Linked DNA regions of Mus musculus. The protein of the gene in region 1 purifies or fractionates together with the protein of each later gene. This does not show direct contact. Links are inferred from orthologs where the notes say so. Each region holds a gene or a part of one and is shown in the gene's direction. Other genes may lie near its edges.

Evidence for each region. Proteins that work in one complex are often made in the same cells at the same time.
Region 2: the proteins of Nup214 (region 1) and Xpo1 purify together in Homo sapiens (affinity purification with western blotting; 4 studies listed by BioGRID and IntAct, with this or other methods). This does not show direct contact. The link is inferred for Mus musculus from reciprocal best matches to the Homo sapiens genes NUP214 and XPO1.
Region 3: the proteins of Nup214 (region 1) and Nup62 purify together in Homo sapiens (affinity purification with mass spectrometry; 5 studies listed by BioGRID and IntAct, with this or other methods). This does not show direct contact. The link is inferred for Mus musculus from reciprocal best matches to the Homo sapiens genes NUP214 and NUP62.
Region 4: the proteins of Nup214 (region 1) and Kpnb1 purify together in Homo sapiens (affinity purification with mass spectrometry; 3 studies listed by BioGRID and IntAct, with this or other methods). This does not show direct contact. The link is inferred for Mus musculus from reciprocal best matches to the Homo sapiens genes NUP214 and KPNB1.

Annotation. Positions count from the first base shown.
Region 1 is NC_000068.7:31,972,441-31,978,361, forward strand, and holds the start of Nup214 (nuclear pore complex protein Nup214), read left to right. Parts: upstream 1-2,009; 5' UTR 2,010-2,123; coding exon 2,124-2,168; intron 2,169-4,059; coding exon 4,060-4,255; intron 4,256-5,323; coding exon 5,324-5,475; intron 5,476-5,921. UniProt on the Homo sapiens protein: Part of the nuclear pore complex. Has a critical role in nucleocytoplasmic transport.
Region 2 is NC_000077.6:23,254,652-23,258,840, forward strand, and holds the start of Xpo1 (exportin-1), read left to right. Parts: upstream 1-1,389; 5' UTR 1,390-1,509; exon of another isoform or gene 1,510-1,992; 5' UTR 1,993-2,066; intron 2,067-4,189. UniProt on the Homo sapiens protein: Mediates the nuclear export of cellular proteins (cargos) bearing a leucine-rich nuclear export signal (NES) and of RNAs.
Region 3 is NC_000073.6:44,814,749-44,818,887, forward strand, and holds the start of Nup62 (nuclear pore glycoprotein p62), read left to right. Parts: upstream 1-1,339; 5' UTR 1,340-1,735; exon of another isoform or gene 1,736-1,910; intron 1,911-4,139. Other genes in the region: Atf5 (cyclic AMP-dependent transcription factor ATF-5), read right to left, coding at 241-418. UniProt on the Homo sapiens protein: Essential component of the nuclear pore complex. The N-terminal is probably involved in nucleocytoplasmic transport.
Region 4 is NC_000077.6:97,185,093-97,189,124, reverse strand, and holds the start of Kpnb1 (importin subunit beta-1), read left to right. Parts: upstream 1-1,232; 5' UTR 1,233-1,539; coding exon 1,540-1,579; intron 1,580-1,677; coding exon 1,678-1,736; intron 1,737-4,015; coding exon 4,016-4,032.

The DNA of each region.
Region 1 (5,921 bases):
ATGTCTACTGGGGAATCACTCCCAGCCAATCTAGCCAATGACTATGATATGGAGTGGGGGGGAGTGCAAGAGGTGAGTACCATGTAGTCCCAGGGATTCCAGCTGGGCTCATAATTTGGCAAGTGTCAGAGGAGCCTCTGTAAAACCTTAAGTGGAAAAGACAGGGAAGCGTTGAGCTAATGTGCTTTTCCTGTGGCTCTTGTTCCACAGTCCAATACCCAGGGTGCTGTTCCCACAGCAGTGAGAGAGAGAGAGAGTGAAGCAAACAGGGCATGGAATGGTTAGCTCCAGTTCGTCCTCTGGTCTCAACCAGTTCAGTTCAGGAGAGAGATCATTTCGCTATGACTGGCTGATTTTCAGCCCTAGGAGCTGCTTCAAATGCACAGTCTAGTTGAAGTTTAAACCCCAGCATTCCTCCCTATAAATATAAAATCCTGTCTACCCTCACCCCATCCTTTGACTTATTTTTCTTTTAAGATTAGCATCTCTGCCCCCATTTCCTCCTGCCTTCCTTCTCTGAGCGGGCTGGGACCTTGGACTGCATTGGGTCCCTATTCTATGTGACAGAGGAAGGAAGAATCAGCCGGCTCAGTGGGTCCACAACTCATGAGCTTACACACCACCTCCATAAAGGAGTGTGCCACTGACCTCTGCAGAGCACAGAAAGAGGCAGTGGTCTGAAGATCAATCTATGGGAAGACTTAAGAATGACCCTTTAATGGAGGAGTTGGCATATATTTCAAGTTGTGTCTGTTGGTTCCAGGGTTTTTAACCTCTCTAGTTAAGGGCTTAGCTTTCTTGGGACATCGGCTGCCTTATTTCTGAAAAAGACCAAATGTAACTGGTGTAACCAGCAGTTTGGGGATTGCCAAGTATGGCTTTGCCCTGTGACTCAAAAGATGTTTGTAAGGTAGATTTGGGTGAGTGCCATTATTGTGTGCATGTGTGTATGTATGGATGGGATGTGGTCTCCTGCAGACTGAAATAAACTAGAGCAATTTATCAGTGTCTTTGTGTTTCTTGGGGACAGCTCTGGGCTCAGTAAATTCAGAAGAGCTAGCTGACAACAGGTACCAAGTAAATGAGTGTGTCCTGGGTCTCCCATGTCCCAGACAGACAGTTGACGTCATCTGATTAAGCCCAAGACCCAGGTCTACTGTTAGCATTTTACAATGAATAGAGGCTTGCACACATGCAACTTGTTGAGAGACTGCATCTGACAGAATGTGCCCTCTGGAGCTGACCCACCAGCTCCAAGTTAGGAACCTCTTTTATAATTCTACTCCAGAAATGTCTTCAACATCAGTCAGTATACGCAGATCTGAATCTTAACCCTTCCTGGCTGAAAGCTATTGGATAATTTAACTGCTTTGTGTGGAATTCTCTTATTACATATTTTTTTCCAGACAGGGTCCCATGTAACTCAGGATATCTAGAGATTGCTATGTAGCCTAGGAAGACCTTGAATTCCTGACCCTCTAATCCCCAAAAGCTGAGATGATAGCCGCGCACCATTTGCGATGTGAAGTGGATATGGCTTATGATCTGAAACGATTGCCTTGAAAACAGTAAACAAAACCGATCTTTTGTCCCTTTTCCTCTCCGTTTTTAAAAGGGTTCTGCACCGGCACACAGTGCAGTCCACCCGCTAACCGAACCTCTCTGTCCGCTCTTCCCAGCAAAAAAGTTCCTAACTTCTCTAAGTCGGAAGCTTCTAAGAGCCCTGCAGGTAAGTGCTACCGGGAAGCATCGAGAGTCTCAGGAAGGCCGAGCGTGCCTCTCTCTAAGGAAGAAAATTAAATAGCGAGGCTGCGCACGCAGCATCCAAAGGAAGGCGGACTCCGGCCCGCGCCTCATGGCCACACCCACTGCGCGGAACCGGCCAATGGGGCCTTGTGGATTGGCAAGCGCGCGACTTCCGAGCAGCCCTCGACTGCCTCCGAGCACACTAAAAACCGGCCTGGGTGACGTCAGTCACGCGCGCCGGAAACGCGCATCTACCACGCGCCGCGGGCGCTGAGGGAAGGAAGTTGAGGCCTGAGCGGCCTGAGCTGTGTTTGAAAGGCCGCGGGTGGCAGCGGCAGCGCCAGCAGCAGCTACTTGAACACCCTGAAGGCGGCACGATGGGAGACGAGATGGATGCCATGATCCCTGAGCGGGAGATGAAGGTTAGAGCCTGGCCGGGGCCTCCCCGCCTGCGTAGTCCTGGAGTTGCCTTGGAGCCTCGCCTCTGCCGGCTGCTCCTGCAGTTCGCAGGGTCGCGATCGCTCGCCCCACAGAGCGTCCGCAGCTCTGCGTGTCGCGGGCCTGAGTTCCCTGCAAGTGCAGGTACCTGTCCTTGCGTGGGTTTGTCCACGCCTTCTGAGTTACCCCAGGTACTCTGATGGGCTGGTCGCCTTACTGGTGACAGCGATTCTTGTTTATTGAGTGAGACGTACTGTCGCCACCGTCGCTGCAGCCCTTACGACCAGCTTAGAAAGAGGAGCGCATTGAAGCCTTGAAAGCAAATGATCCAAAGTCACGTGGCAAAAGCCTTACATCTCTCTTACGATTTAGGCATGGTCTCTTGTAGCTCAAGGTGGCTTCTGGTCTTGGGCTCTTGTCTCTGCCTCCACCTCCCAAGTGGTGGGATTATTGGTGTGCATTACCACAGTTGGCTTAGACGCTCAGTTCTTATTAGCTCTCTATACTTGAGGGTGGTCCAAACTACCTAAAGTGGAGCCAAGAAACACTATCTGCCTTCAAAACCCCTAGTTAGTAGGAACAGGAAGTCAAGTTTGGCACTGGAAATCAGCTTGAACTCATGAGACTAAAGGAAAAGCAAGCGAACCCTAAGTGATCCCCATGCTACAACTTCTGGATACTGTGTTAATAGTTGGCTTATATACTCTGACAGAATGGAAAGGCAGGGGACCGTAGACAGTTGGAAATGAGTGAGTTGCAGGAAGGTGTTAGCCATTTGTGTGACCGGTGAGTCGCTAAAATGCACATGGGTCGAGTGCTCCATATCATGCTTAGAAACAGTGGCTCTTCCTTGAGTCAGCACATGTGCTGAGCCCGGTAATGGGCAAGCTTCATGTTCCTCAGATATGTTCGGGTAGAGAATTTAGAACCACAGGGCTAATAGCAGTATTTTAATTCCTGCCAAAAGCAGAAAGGAGAGGTTTGGGTTTTGGGTTTGTCTGTTGTGTTTGTTTTGTTTTGTTTTGTTTTGTTTCTTTTGTGTTGCTTCATCACACTGGCCCACCACAAAAAAAGCCACCAAGCCCCAGTGGTACAGTCATGACTATTAGGATGATAATATCAAAAAAGATAGATGATTTGTTTCTTTATGAATGGCCAGTGTGGCCTCATGGGGAAATTTGTGTGAACTTTTACCCACCGTATTCAACTGGGATTAAGAGTACTGCTCTTCCAGAGCTCCTGAGTCCAATTCCCAACACCTACAGGGCAGCACACAATTGTCTGTAGCTCTAATTCTCACACAGACACATGCAGGCAGAACACCAATGCTCATAAAAATCTTCCAGTAAATATGTATTAAACATGGACTGCAAGAAAATTAGTATGTGTGGGTGTGCTAGACACCCTTTATGAAGCATTTCATAAGGTTCTGTAGAAATACATTTTCTCTTGTAGCTGTCATATTCTTTTCACTAAAATCCCTAGCTGGAGAGTTAGGAGGTGTGGTGGAGGATACAGATAGAGCTTAACAAAGTGATTACAGATTAACACTTTTTGAGGGTATTAGATCCCCAGGAACTGGAGTTACAGACAGTTGTGAGCTGCTATGTGGGTTCTGGGAATTGAACCTAGATCCCCTGAAAGAGCAGCCAGTGTTCTTAACCATTGCTTCCTCTCTCCAGCCCTCTCTATTTATTTCATTCAGCAAATGTTAATGAGTATTATACCAAGCACCACCAAATACAGAGTCTAAAAACAAAATTGGTGGCCTCAAGGTAATAAGTATATTTTTGTTATCCTGAAATTGCATTTATGGACTATGATAATAGACATGATTTAATTTCTTCCTTGATCTTGTTTCCTATTCTAAAACAGGACTTTCAGTTTAGAGCACTGAAGAAAGTGAGGATCTTTGACTCTCCTGAAGAGTTGCCCAAGGAGCGCTCGAGTGTGCTTACCATATCCAATAAGTATGGTATGCTCTTCGCTGGTGGCACCAATGGCTTGAATGTTTTTCCTACTAAAAGCCTTCTTATCCAAAATAAACCTGGAGATGATCCCAATAAAATTGGTAAGCACGTTCTTTGATTTATAGTGTGCAGCAGAGCCAGGGCTGCAGTAGCATACTAGTCAGTGTATTTCCTTACTAAGACACGATTCTGATGTCAAAATTGTGATTTCTTTTGGCCTTGCAGGGAGCTTCCACTTAGGGTGCCAAAGGCCTTTCTGAGTTTTCTTTTCAGCTCTCTGCTATTGTTTCTGTGAGCCACTTCTCTAAGATGAGAGGGAAGAAGACCTTACTGTTGTGCTCAGTTGAACGTGGGCTCTGGGAAGCCATCCAGAAGAAGGCATGGCTGTATCACCCTGCAGACGGAAACGTGTGTCTGCAGCATTGAGCAGAAGTGTTTTCAGCAAGGGCCATAGCAAGAGTCTTGGGATATTTAAAGCAGCATTACCTATGTACAGGAGAGTTAAGCTTAGTTCCTGTAACTAGATATCCAAGGTATTGTTACTCTGTATCCATCGTGCATCAGGAGGAAGTGGGGAGAGTGCACCAGTGGGCTGGTGAGACAGCAAAATCTTCTATGTTAATACACATAAGCAGAGTTGCTGATGATCAAGACTGCCAGACAAGAACTCCAGGAGTCTTGTTCCTTCTGGCAGCTCTGATTGGGGACTGAATCAGCAGGGTTTATAAGCATAAAAAAATGTAAGCAACTGGGACAAGTTACAGTTACAGTTTTCACCAGTCAGGACTCTGGGATTAGGGACTCTCCCAAGTGTTTCATTGTTGTCAGCTGACATTGAGTGTAAGTGTTTTTGCTCAACCAATCAAATTTGTCTGTTCTTTCTGTTAGGAACAACATTATGTTTTGGGGAACTATTGTTGCTTAGAGAGGGAGTTGGTGAGCTTGTAGAGAGTCCTCAGTTCCCCAGGGCCTAGGAACTTGAACTTTGTTCATCCAATAGGAAAAATGGAGTCTGAATGTAGAATGTCAGTCCTTAAGACCAGCTCTTTATCTATGCCCAACAGGTGTATTTTTATATAGGTGAAAATGTGGGTTTGTATTGACTTGAGTAAAGGATTATGACTGTGTGCCTGTTACATGCTGTATTTTTCTGCTTTGTGTTTTTATAGTTGACACAATTCAAGGCTTGAATGTTCCTATGAAATTCCCAGTCCATCACCTAGCACTGAGCTGTGATAGTCTTACACTCTCTGCCTGCATGATGTCTAGTGAATACGGCTCCATTATAGCTTTTTTTGATGTTCGCACATTTTCAAATCAGGTAAGCTACTATATGGAAGCAGAGACTTGCTCGTAGACGTTCTAACTTGGAAGCTGTATAAAGGGTGACGTGGCTGCTCCATGGTCTGGTAAGGGGGTATTCATTGTAGCTATAAGAAAGCAAACACTAGAGGAACTTGGAAGAGTCCAGAGCAGAGAAAGAAGTAGACTGAACATGGCCAGCAGAGTGAATATAGCCAGGGCTCTGGGGACGAGGGGAGATGGAGAATAGAAACAACGCCGTGAGGCAGGCTATGAGGAGAGTGAGTAGCTGGAGGAGGGACGCTCATGAGCTGTAGGGGAAAAAGTATGGACTCTGAAGTGTGTGGCAGGCACTTGTGATACTGAAGGAGCCTGAGTGCTCCATGTCACGCTGATAGACTGTGTCCCTTCAGAGGTAAGGGCTAGGACTCCTGGGAGATTGGAATTAGCTCACAAGTTCTCAAG
Region 2 (4,189 bases), on another chromosome or scaffold:
TCTGTAGTCCAGGCTTGTTTGAATTCAAGAGATCTGCCTGCCTCTGCCTCTGTCACCACCACCCAACTGCTGGTTGTTTTAAGCAACCCTAATCAGCAAAACTGACCTGGCACTTGGGAGCCATGGGTTAACCTAGGGGCGTGGCATAATAAGGGCACGCACCAAGTTAAAAGAAGTTGGCACAAAATCTGTCTATACGCATTGTTAAGTTAGCAACAGGATTTTCAATGTGTTAGGACTAATTTTTAGAAATAACTTCTTGTTGAAGCAGTCTGGGGAGAGTTAATTTTTTGTTGTTGTTTTTTTTCGAGACAGGGTTTCTCTGTGTAGCCCTGGCTGTCCTCGAGCTCACTCTGTAGACCAGGCTGGCCTCGAACTCAGAAATCCCTGTCTCTGCCTTCCAAGTGCTGGGATTAAGGGCATGCGCCACCTCTGCCCGGTAGAGAGTTAAATTTTTAAGGAGGCTCGTCCAATAACTAACTAGACAACCGTTTCCAGGCGCCCAAACTGCACGCCCGTTTATGCCAACCTCGGCCCGTGCTATTCACGTTCCCATGCGGTGCCCAAACCCAGGCCTCTACAACGGATCCAAGGCCCAGGGCCTACCATCCGGCACCTATGTGTTCTTTTCGGTCCTTCGCGGCCGTCTATTTCCATGTAGAAACAGGGTGTGCCCTCCCTTTTCCGAGCACAGACCCCATCCTAAGGGCGGATGCTGGGGCCCCAGGACGAGGCCCCTGAGGTTGGCGGGAGCTCGAGGGGGCGGGCCGCCAGGGAACGGGGAGGGGGGGAAAGCAGAAAGACGAGCAACGCGCGCGGCGCTCAAACCCGCGCTGCCTTCTGCTCACGGGCGAACCCCACCCTCTCCGTCACCAAAGGCGCCCAGCCAATGGGCGAGCCGGAAAGGCCGGGCTTACAAGCGAGGGACCGAGAGGGGGAGCCACTCGAGGGGAAAGGGATGTAGAAGGCGGGCTGCACTTGACTGACAGCTCACTCAAGCCAATCCTCTGTGAGGCTTCTCCGCTCTCCTCTTTGCTGGGCTCTGTTCGACGTCCCACCTTCTCTTCCTCCACCCCCCCCTCACTCCTTTGCGTCCCGCCCCGCCTCCCCTCCCCCACTCTGCGGGCAAATCACTGCTGGAAAGAGGCGGGGGCCTAAGCGGCAGGCTCGTGTGGAGCCTTGAGGTGGGATTGACGGGCGCTCCGACCAATAAGAGGTAGGCTGATGGCGCGGCTGTGGCCGGGGCCGACCAATGGGCGCGCGGCCTGGGGGCGGAGGCCCAGGTTCCAAACGCTCCGCGGCGCCATGGGCTGAAAACTCAACCGAGATGGAATCTCCCAGTCTGAACCGGTTTCAACCGGTTCCGAGTTTGAGGCACTAGGAGGAGGGGGAGAAGCGGCTGCAGCGGCCGCGGCAGGAGCAGCGGGAGCTTCAGCATCAGCAAGAGCAACAGTAGCTACAGCCCCGGCGGCCGTGCCTGTTCCAGCCTTTGCTGCAGCAGTCGTGCAACCATCCCGAGGGGGAGGGGGGAGGCACCAGTCGCTGAGGAGCACGCGAAGGGGGGAAAGTTTAGGCTAGCTCGGGTGGGGGGGCCCGGCGCCGGAGCGGCGTGAGCGAGGGAGCCCTGTGTGGTAGGGGGAGCCGGACTGCAACTGGCGGCAGAGCGGCCCCGGCCGTACGGACTCGCGCTGCTGCTCCCGCCGCCGCCTGTGGCTGGAGGGTCCTGGGCTCTGTCTCACGGACTGGCCCGCTCCCCTCCCCCTTCCTTCCCTCCCCAGCCGGGCGGGAGCATTTATTTCTCGGATTAATTCCCCTTTTTGGTGGGGCGCGTGTGTGTGCGTGCGCGCGTGTGTGTGCGTGAGTGTGTGTTGGGTGGAGTTGTCCCTAGAATAGTAAATACTGAGCTTTTTTTTTTTTTTTTGCCCTTCTCTGCTTTTTAATTTCTTTTTTGTTTAAGGTGGGAAAACTGTGAAACCCACCTTGATTTCCTCCCCTCTCCCTCCTCCCCACCTTCCCTCGCCCCAAGCCCGGACAAGGAAGGAAGAAGCAGTTGGTTGAATTTCTGGGTAAGTCGGTCGTGTGCTCGGGGCCGAGGGTCGGGCGGCGGCGGCGCGGCGGGCATGAGGCGAGGCGGGCGGCGGGCGCGGGGCCCTCGGCGGAGCCTGAGATTGAATGGAAGCGCTTCTGTCGCTCGGTGATGGAGGTGGGGAGGCGGCCGCGGGAGGGGAGCGCTTGCTGGGTCATCTTCGTGTGCGGGTGGCGGTGGAGGAAGGCGAGGAGCGTGGTAGTGAGGCTGAGCCCCTGCGCGTGGGTGGAAGGGCTTCCCCAGTCCAAAGGGCTGGGGAGAGTCGGGGGTGATTTCGGGAACGTCTCTGTAAATTATTAGGAGTGGAAGTTTCCAGAAATATTTAGTGCAGCAGCATTGAAACGTCCGCCTGCATCACGTGGCCCCCTCGGTGGAGAGCTTGGGATGGGGGAGGGAGGGGCTACCGAGTCCCTTCTTATGTGAAGAAACTCGAAAGCCTTGTGGGTGATTTTTGTTGTTGTTGGTTTTGTGAGTGTGTGTATAACAAGAAGTAGGAAAGAGGAGTTAATTTCTTTTTTTCGGGGGCCTGCAGTTGGGGTTCCGTGTTGTAGGTTGTTTTCGCCCGGGGCATATATGTCTTGGTGAAACCGTGTACTGCTGGCCGTGGACAGTGAATGATGCCCTCCCTGCTCCTCCTTCTGGTTTCTTGAGTTTGCGGTGTAGGAGAGGAAGTGGTGGTAGAGGATGCACTGAATACTCGCCGAGGCGGGACCTCGGATCACTCAGAGGACATGCTGCATAGAGAATAGGGCGGTGAACTTAGGCGCCGGGTCTAAATGCCTCCTCCGAGTATGGGCGGGGTGAGTGCGTGCTCCTGTGAGCTATAGTTAGAAGTGCTGAGAGTCGTTCGGGTGGGAAGCCAGGGGAGGGCGGTCCCTTCCTAGTGAGGCGTGTGTTTCTTACTGAATGAAGCAGGCGATTGCCCACACACGGAGTAGCAGTCTTTTGTAGCATCTTGTTTTTTGACTCATTGTGAACTTACCTTTTTAGATGGCTACTGGTGGGTAGTGTTTTGCTGCTTGCAGTGCCATTGAAGGTATATGGACAATCACTTGTAGAGTCACAGCATTGTTTGATGGGTTCCTACAGTTCACAATCCAGTGAGTGGAATTTGGGATTGGGGGACACCAACGAGACAGGTGAACCAATCAGAAAGTGAACAATCCCTCCATAGCTGCACTACTTACTGCATGATTCTGTATCTTGAATGTGGGTGTCACGGCTGACGGTGGAATGACTATTTGGAAGCTGTTTGGTTGGGGCTGCTAAATGTGCTTGGCATTGACCACAGAGCCGCCATTTCTGGATTACCTATAGTTGAAGTTGGAAGATAACCGCTAGTTCCGAGAAAGGCCAACAACTGTATTTAAGTATTCTTAGATTGCACCCCTTCCCCCACATGAGTCTAGTATCTGAATTCTTAGAGAAGACCAACTTGAAAATGAAACTTAGGACTTAAGTGTAGGGTCATTTGACTAAACATTTAATCATTACTTTTTTTTTTAAAGAACTATAAATTGAGATAGTGTCTGAGACAAGTTGGTTGCAATTTTTAACCATAAACTCGAAAAATCTGTTTTAATCTGTAAAAGTTATGACACTTGAAGTTATTGGAAAGAATAGTTATTTGTTAGTGGGATTTATTTTTCTTGTATATTAGTGTTCTGTTTTTCCCTTCTTAAGACAGACAGAGTCTCACTGTGTATTCCAGTCTGTGCTTCCATCTCTTCTGGGATTGCATATGTCTTATCTCTTAACACTGGCCTTGGTGTTAATTGTCCTTTCACCTCCCAGGTGCTTTCTTTAATTTTTAATATATAATTTATTTTTACTTTTAGTTTATGTTTTGTTGGTGTTTTGCCTGCATGTATGTCTTTGTGGAGGTGTCAGAAAACCAGAAACCAGAGTTACAGATCAATGTGGGTGCTGGGAATTGAACCAGGGTCCTTTGGAAGCACAGCCACTGAGCTATCTCTCCAGCCCAGTTTGTTTGTTTCTTTTCTTTTTCTTTTTCTTTTTCTTTTTCTTTTTCTTTTTCTTTTTCTTTTCTTTTCTTTTCTTTTCTTTCTTCTTTTTCCGAGACAGGGTTTCTCTGTATAGCCC
Region 3 (4,139 bases), on another chromosome or scaffold:
TTAGAGGGGCTGACTTCTCAACTATGTCTTTCATCACTGTCCACTAAGCTTTGGTCTCCCACTTCTGTCTCCTGATGCACCCATGAGCTTAGGGATCCCTTGCTCGGAACCCTGCAGACCTAGAACAGTGTTGGGCACACTGCAGGCCCTCAGTACTGATCTTGTGAAGGAATAAATTCTTCCTTTTCTGTCCACCCCCACCCCCAGCTCAACCCACCTCTCTTCTTAACCTGTTCTTACCTGCCAGGGGCTCTCCCCCCCCTGGAAGCCCGCCCTCCAGGGCACCCCCAAGGACCTCATAGGGGCCCAGGGGGGCAGGGGCCAGGGGGAGTTTCCCATAGTCTACGAGCCAGCCCAGCCCGCTAGCTGGGAGCAGGGCCCTGTCCAGCTCCAGTCCCAGGGTCGCCAGGAGTGACATGGCTGTGACACAGGCACAGGGCAGCGACGGCAATGGAGGCTGCACCAACAATTGGGAGGCAGCGTGGAAGATTGTTCAGCTGGGTGAAGACAGGCACCAAGGCGAAGGTGGAGGACCTGTGAGGACAAGGGGACGTGGGTGGGATTGAGTCAAAGCGGCTTGACCCACAGGCTACACAGTTTCCTTCTTTCCGAAAATTTCAGCGCTCCACACATTCCCAGGGACATTATTGGAAACTCCCCTGCCCCATCTCCTCCCTCAACACAGAAACCTAGTGTTTTCCCAGGGGAATTACCTCTAGTCCCTCCTACCCACCTCATCTTATTCCTCTTCATAAAAATTTCAATCCCAAGGGAATTTCCTTCTAGCCGTGCCCCTTCCGCATCATTAGACTATACCCCCTTTAATCCACAGGGGTTCCCAGAATAATTCTGCATGCCTGGGCCCTTCATCAGTGTCACACACACAGATCCCGCTCTTCCCTTAAAAATTTTGGTGACTTCTAAAGATTCTACGGGAAGCTCCGCCCACCCTTCTGTCTGTCACAGTCAGTTCCCGTCCCCCACTAGCAAGTCCCTAGAGGCCCCGCCCCTGTAGTGCTAGTGCTAACTCTTTCTTAAAGGTGTTCCTAAAGCCTTTCCTGTCAGTTTAAGCCAGTCCCCGCCCCAGCAGGTGTCTGATTGGAGGGAAGTTGGGCCTGAGTCGGAGCCTCAAGCAAAACCCCACCCTTCCTCGCTGCTGGCTCGACTAGCGACGAGGCGCAAGCTCAGTCCCAGGACCCGATCCATTGTTACGCCACTACCCTCCTGGGGGACCAGTGCGCGTGTTTAGCCAATGACCGGCCGCCCGCCGTAGTTCAGGCCGGGGGTGGAGGGGTGGGGGGGTGGGGGAATAAGACAATGCGCATGCGCAACAGGTTGTGGGGTTGTCTCCTTGGAGGAAAAGGGGCAGAGGGTCTGTGAATTAGCGCGCAGGCGCAACGGCGCGCGAGCCGACCTTAAAAGCCCCCAAATTCTCCGGAAGCACGCCCTCCTCCTCCCCGCCCCTCGCAACTCGAGCCTAGTGCGCTTGCTCAGCGGATGCGCCGGCCGCCAGCTTCCCTCTTCTGCGCCTGCGCGACCGTGGTTCCTCACTTCGTCTCCCCCGCCCCCACCACGAGGCTGACCCGTGAAGCCCCGCGAGCTCTGAAAGGGCGGGAAAGGCAGTTGGCGAGGGAGGGGCGAGCGGTTACTCACTCCATGGCGGCGAAAAGGCGAGGAGGCAACGGCGGCGGCGGCCTCGGCTGAAGAGACGGTGTGAGCGGAGAGTGAAGGCGCGGTGAGCGCGGAGACGGGGGCGGGGGACACGACGGGGTCGCGGCTACAGAGCCATTGCGCGGGCGGAGGCGGCGTGGCGGGAGCGTTAAGGGAGACTGTGCTGAGAGGGTTGAAAATGAGGCGGCCCCGGGGCCTGGGGACAAATATACCGGGGGCGGCGCAGCGCGGGCTTGCCTGGATCCCTCCGCGCCCCGCCCTCGCGCGGCCCCGACGGGGCGGTGGCGACCCCGGGCCCGCCATGTCGCCCTGACCCTCCACTCTCTGCTTCAGGCTGGGGGCCCGGGCTCGGTCTCCTGAATCGGTCAGATCCGATGTGTCTTTCACACCCGAAACCAGCTCGTCTCGTTCTCTCTCCCTGCTTCACGAATTTGCCACCCGAGACCTCGTGGGTTAAGCCCATCGCCGAATGGCGCAAGCTAGCTTAGGCTTCATAGAGGAGTTCCAGGCAGCAACCGCGAGATAACGCTTCCCAAGTACTTGTAGAGCGCTGTATACGCGCACAGATATATCAGCTATGGAAAGTAGGCCACGAAGTCCTAACCACGAGACTCTTCAACATATTTTTGTTTGTTTTGTTTTAACATTTATTGTGGTGGTCAGAGGAGAGCTAGCAGGAGTTGGTTCTCTGACCATGTGAGTCCCAGGGACGGAACTCGGGTCAAACTATTTGGCAGCCTTTACCCACTGCTCAGTCATTGTATTTTCTTTTAGAAAAAAACCCTGACTTCACCTCTTTTACTCTCCCTACCCCAGATTCTTAGCCATATGATCGTTCTGTGTGTCCCACCTCCAAGGTTTCTGTTTCCAGCCATCCCTGCCGACCTCTAAGGTTTTGCCCTTGCTCTGACTTTCTTGCAGTCCTTGCTCTCTTGCTGACCCCACTAGATAATTATTTCTTGATCCTGTCCAAAATAGGACATTTATATTCCATTTAGTAAAAGAGTCCCTCTTGTCCTTCACCGGGGATGATGCGTGAACCCTGTTTTCTACCCCATGTTCATGTACATGGCTGGCATTCCATGTGAAAGTCAGTCAGTGTGTCATATTTGTAGCAGCTGAGAGACTGAATGGTTGGAGATAGAGCTCAAGAATGCTCGTCTGTTTTTAACACCAGAACCTTAGTCTCTGTCCAAGCACCACATGGATTGGGCTTGACTTGCCTGTATTCTCAGGATTTGGGAGATGGGAGAAAAGAAATCATGAGTTCAGGGTCATACTGACTGGCCTCAATGTGTTTTAAAAAGAAAAAGTCCAGAGGCCAGGCTTGATATCTCACCTACTTAGGAGGCTAAGACAGGAGTATTGAAAGTCAAGGTCAGGGCTGGAGCTGCTTTGAGATGGCTCTGGTGGTGATCTCTAAACTCAACCCTCCTGAGTTCCATCCTCAGGACCCACTTGGTAGAAGGACAAAAGCAACTCTAGACGGTTGTCCTCTGACCTCCACCACCTGTAGTGACAGGTCTACATACTGAGTAAGGGGAGGAAAAAAGCTCAAGGCTTGCCTTGACTAGAAAGTGAGTTCTTGGCTGTCTAGAGAACTTAACAAAGATCCTGATTTTAAAAAAATATGTAATGGGCTGGGGTTGGAGGTTGGTGGCAGAGTGTTGGCCAGAATACTGCTTTCCAGACTCTGGTGTCCATCCCTGGTACTGTAAAAGATTCAGAGCAGGTGGGGAATACTGATTTTGAAAGTTACAAGTCCTTGAGATAATTCCCCTTGGAATGGGCACTCTTTTTTTTTTTTTAGATTTTATTTATGTAAGTACACAGGTTCTCTTCAGACACACCAGAAGAGGGCATCAGATTCCATTGCAGATGGTTGTGAGCCACCATGTGGTTGCTCTGGAAAAGCAGTCAGTGCTCTGTAACACTGAGCCATCAGAGTGTGAATTCTTATCTTCTGCCAGTGTTTGAGCACAGGCGTGATTTGATGTGTTTAGACTCCAGCCCTCCCTTGCCAGCTATGGGCTTTGTTAAGTCCATGTGGAGTCTGCTACGAATACAGAAATGGGATGGACCCAGAGCTTCATGAACTGCATGCTAAATGGACATTCTACCACCTGAGCTGCATCCCTGGGCCCCACAGGTGCTGGTTTTTATTTGAAACATTGTGCCATGTTGCTGTGCCGGTGGTGCTCCTTTCCTTGAGTTTGGTATTTTAAAGTAAACTTTTGGAATAATCGAAAGGTTTCAAAGACAGTGCAGAGTGGGGGTACCAGCCCATAGTCTTCCCCATGGTACTTCTTTTTTCTTTCCTGAGGTCCTACCCAGATGCTTCCCCCGCCCTCAGATCCACCTTAACTCAAGAGCTGGTTTTCACATTTAGCTGCCATGCCCTCCCCAGCATGTGCACAGCCGTCACTTTATGGGAGTTGTGATCATCCCTGGAGGCCTGCCACCCTGAG
Region 4 (4,032 bases), on another chromosome or scaffold:
CACCTTAAAAACAATACAATTTACATGCTATTTTGACCCATATGCTCCTAATCCCCCCATGACTTGCAGCTGGGTATCCAAATGAGGGGAGGGGAATGTTAAGCAACTATATGCAACGTATTTTTATCTTGTTTGTTGTATTTGTTTTTTGTTTTTGAAACAAGATCTCAGACTGTAGTTCAGGCTTCGGGATACTGAGATGGCAGGTGTGTCGCTACAGCTCGTCAATGCACACGTTCTTTATATAATACTACACAGATCTTGTAAACGAAGTCTGGACATCAAAGCTTTATGGGAACTGCTAAGTGGTCTAAGGACGCGCCTCCGCGAAACTTTGTTAACAGTCCAGGGCCCCGACGGGGTCTCCAAGGGCAATTAGGGGCGCCTGAAGCCAGCTCTGCTCGAGTCTGGAATGGGCTGTGTGACCTTGGACAGGCTCCACTCTCTCTCTGGGCTTCAGTTTGCAAATCCGCACGTTGGAAGGTGAACCACGTGGTTCTCATGGTCCGGTTCCGCACAGAGCGCGGCAGCAAGCCGACCTCACCATGAAGGCAGCTTCCTGTGGGCGCGGCGCAGGACTTTAACGGTTCCCGTCCCCGCCCCCTCCGAGGCCCGCGAAAGGCTCGCTTTCCGTACACCGCGGCGAGTGACGGCTCTCCGTAGCGCGCAGTCCGAGCCACTCGCGCGCAGCTCCGCCCCACCCCGGAGGCGTCCCGTCGTGCTCCGCGCCAGACTCCTAAGAGCCTGGGCGCCTCCCGCCTTTCCGCGCGGCGGCGACCCCGAACTCCTCGCTTCAGTTCTCCCGGCGCCCCGTCCTATCAACGTCCAGGATCCCAGCCAATCCGACGCGCCTGGAGCCTTTACCTTCCGCCCACCCTTCTCCCCGCGCACAGCCGGGCTGAGCCCGAAGGCCTTTACCGGGCCAGCCCAATCAGCGGCGCGCTCTTACCTGCCCCACCCCAGAGCCCCTCCCCTCGACCAATAAGCACGCCCCATCCCGCTGCCCGCCCAGCCAACCGGACCTTGAAGCCCGCAGGCCAATGGGCGCGTGGCGGCCCTTCAACGCTAGCCGTCCGGCCAATCGGGGGTTCCGCGTGGCCCCGGCCGTAGCCAATCGCTGGGCAGCGCGGTGCCGCCGCGGAGAGGTCCGGCAAGGATATCCCTCCGCCTCCCTCCCTCGATCTCTCTCCCTCCCTGCGATCCGCCTCTCACTCACTCACTGCCGCCCTTCCTTTCTCCCTCCGCCGCCCGAGCAGCAGCCGCGCTCCGAGCTGCCCCCGGGGTCCCTCCCCCGCCGCCAGAGGAGCAGCTGCTGCCGCCTAGCACATTAGGAGGGCGGAAGGAAGGAAGGAGAGCGGGGAGGAAGGGGAGCCGGAGCGCCTGGCCAGAGGCAGCCGGTGAATGGGCTTGTGGTGACCCCCACCCCCCACCCCACCCTCCCTTCCCACCCGACCCCCAACCCCCATCCCCAGTCGGAGCCGCCGCCCGACAGGCCGGGCCGCCGTCTTGCGAGGAGTCCCCGCCGCCGTCACCTCCGCCATGGAGCTCATAACCATCCTCGAGAAGACCGTGTCTCCGGGTAGGACTCGGGGCCGGGGGGTCGGGCCGAGGTGACCGGGGTGGGGGAGGGGGTGGCCCCTCTGACCCCGCTGCCTCTCCCCCCATCTCTCCCGGCAGATCGGCTGGAGCTGGAAGCGGCGCAGAAGTTCCTCGAGCGTGCGGCCGTGGAGAATCTGGTGCGTGCCGCCCCGCCGCGCCCCATCCCGCCGCGTCCCCATCCCTGCGTGCGGCCCTTCCCGCCCTCCTGGAGGCCCAGGCCTCAGGAACCCACCCCGCCCCAGCTCGTCCCCCTACCCCCCCGCCCGGCCCAACCTAACCCCGCCATCGGGAAGCCGGTGGGTGTGTCCCGCCCCGAGCCCCGCGTCTGGCCAATAGCGAGGCGCGCCGGGGTGATCGCCGTCCAATCGCCACGCGGCCTGAGGGCGGCGGTGCTGCGGGAGGGAGAAAGAGGGAGGGAAGGGAAGTTAGGTTGCATGGCGCTGCGTGTTCAGCAAGGGTGGGGGTTGGGGAGCCGGGCCTAGGGGCCATGTGGAAGCTCTGCGCCCTGCCGCCTGCCTTGTACTGGCTGCGGCCGGCCTCTCCTTCCTGTCCCCTGGTTTTGAGGCAGTATGCAACTACTTCCCAGAGCCCTACCCTTCCCCAGCTCCCTTGGTCTGTGCTCATGGCCACGCCTGGCACCCGACCACCTCTGGACCCATTGCCACAATTTTTTTCTTTTTCTTGCCCATTATTATCCCATTCCTGGTCTAAGTGCACGAATGTTCTGTTTGGACTTAGGTTTTCAGAGAACTCATCTTTAAGGATCTCAGGCTGAGGCTCATTTCTGAGATTGAGCCTATTCTCTGATAAATCACAAATGTAACCCCGTTTTTCATACTTTCGGATTTAAGAAGTACATTTGAGAAAAGAAAAAGTGACTGACTTTTGTATAGGAAAATGTGGGATTATTGAAGCAGCCTATTGCCAGAATGTTTCTCCTCTCCTTTTTGGGGGAAGGGGAGGGAAGCGTGGATGATATGGAAAGTCTCTTTAAAGGTAGGAAGTTTTAAAAAGTGAAAAAAAACATTGTAACCCAATGTCCTTTGTGAGAGCTTTGCAAAATAGTAACATCCATACAGCGACATATCTGATTTGTACTGACCACTTTTGGTGGAGAGGTAAGCGACTTGTGTTAAGGTTTTTTTATCTCACACCTTTCCAAGCATTTCCTTTTTAGTGTAGACTGAGAATTCTGCTCATAGTATATTCTTGGTTTTGCTTTTGCTACTTTGCAAGAAGCCCTTTTTCCTGCTCCTAACTCTTCAGTGGCACAGAATAGAAATTGGAGAATTGTGTTCTGAGCCTACTGTAGAGTTTGCTTACATTGAGAATTATCTCCTGTGTTTGAAGAGTTTGCTAACACTAAAAAAAGTGTCTACTTTGGCCTTCTATAACATTCCTGATTGGACAGATTACGTACAGGCCCACCCCCCTGTGTGTGCCTCTGTATGCTCAGAAAGAGGAAGGGGGGTGTTATAGATGATTATCTTTTGGACCTGTATTTCAAAACATAGATTTTTGGATGATTCATTGTTAGTTCACATTAGGTCCAAAACACCATAGGCTCCCTGGTATGTTCTGCTTCTAAATGAAGCCAGTTTTTTTTTTTTTTTCCCCTCTCTCTTTTTTTTTTTTTTTTTTTTGGGCGGGGGGGAGTCAAGACAGGATTTCTCTATATAGCCCTGACTATCCTGGAACTCACTTTCTGTAGACCAGACTGGTCTCCCAACTCTGAAATCCACCTGCCTCTGCCTCCTAAGTGCTGGGATGAAACCAATTTCTCTTGACAATTCATCATTCACATTGTCATATTCTTTCAATTTCTGAAAACTAGTTAACACTTTGGCTTACAGATCCCTTTTGTTGAACATGCAGAACTAAAACACGGAGGACTCGGTCTTACATGTATGTTAGACTGGCACACATATGTTAGAAAGGATGCCTTACATGAGATCACAGGGCTGTCCTGATGTTTTTGAACAAGATTTTTTTTTTTTTAATATACTTTTCAAGAATTCTTTTCGTTGAGCTGATTTGCAGTACTGGACATTGTTGTACATGCTTGGAGAAAGTTGTCACTAGGATTGCCGTGTCACCAGGCATCGACTTGCCTTTAATTCTGGGGAGATATTTATTAGACTTGGGCTCAAAACATGTTCTTGATAGGAGGAATCTGTTTCTTCATATAGCAGGTGACTTGTCCTTGAAGTGGCTTTTGTTGCTTAGTCAGGCCTTAACTTTTTGAACCCAAGGAAACCTCTTCAATGTTGAGTCTAGGCAGGTACTATTTCAAAGAGAGATTTCCCAGTTTCCTGAGATACCTTGATTTGATCTAAATTTTGTGTGCTTCTCTAGTTTAGTACTTTATAAGCAAGGGGAAATTGCTAATATGCTTGCAAATGCACCTTCTCCACAGCCCACGTTCCTTGTGGA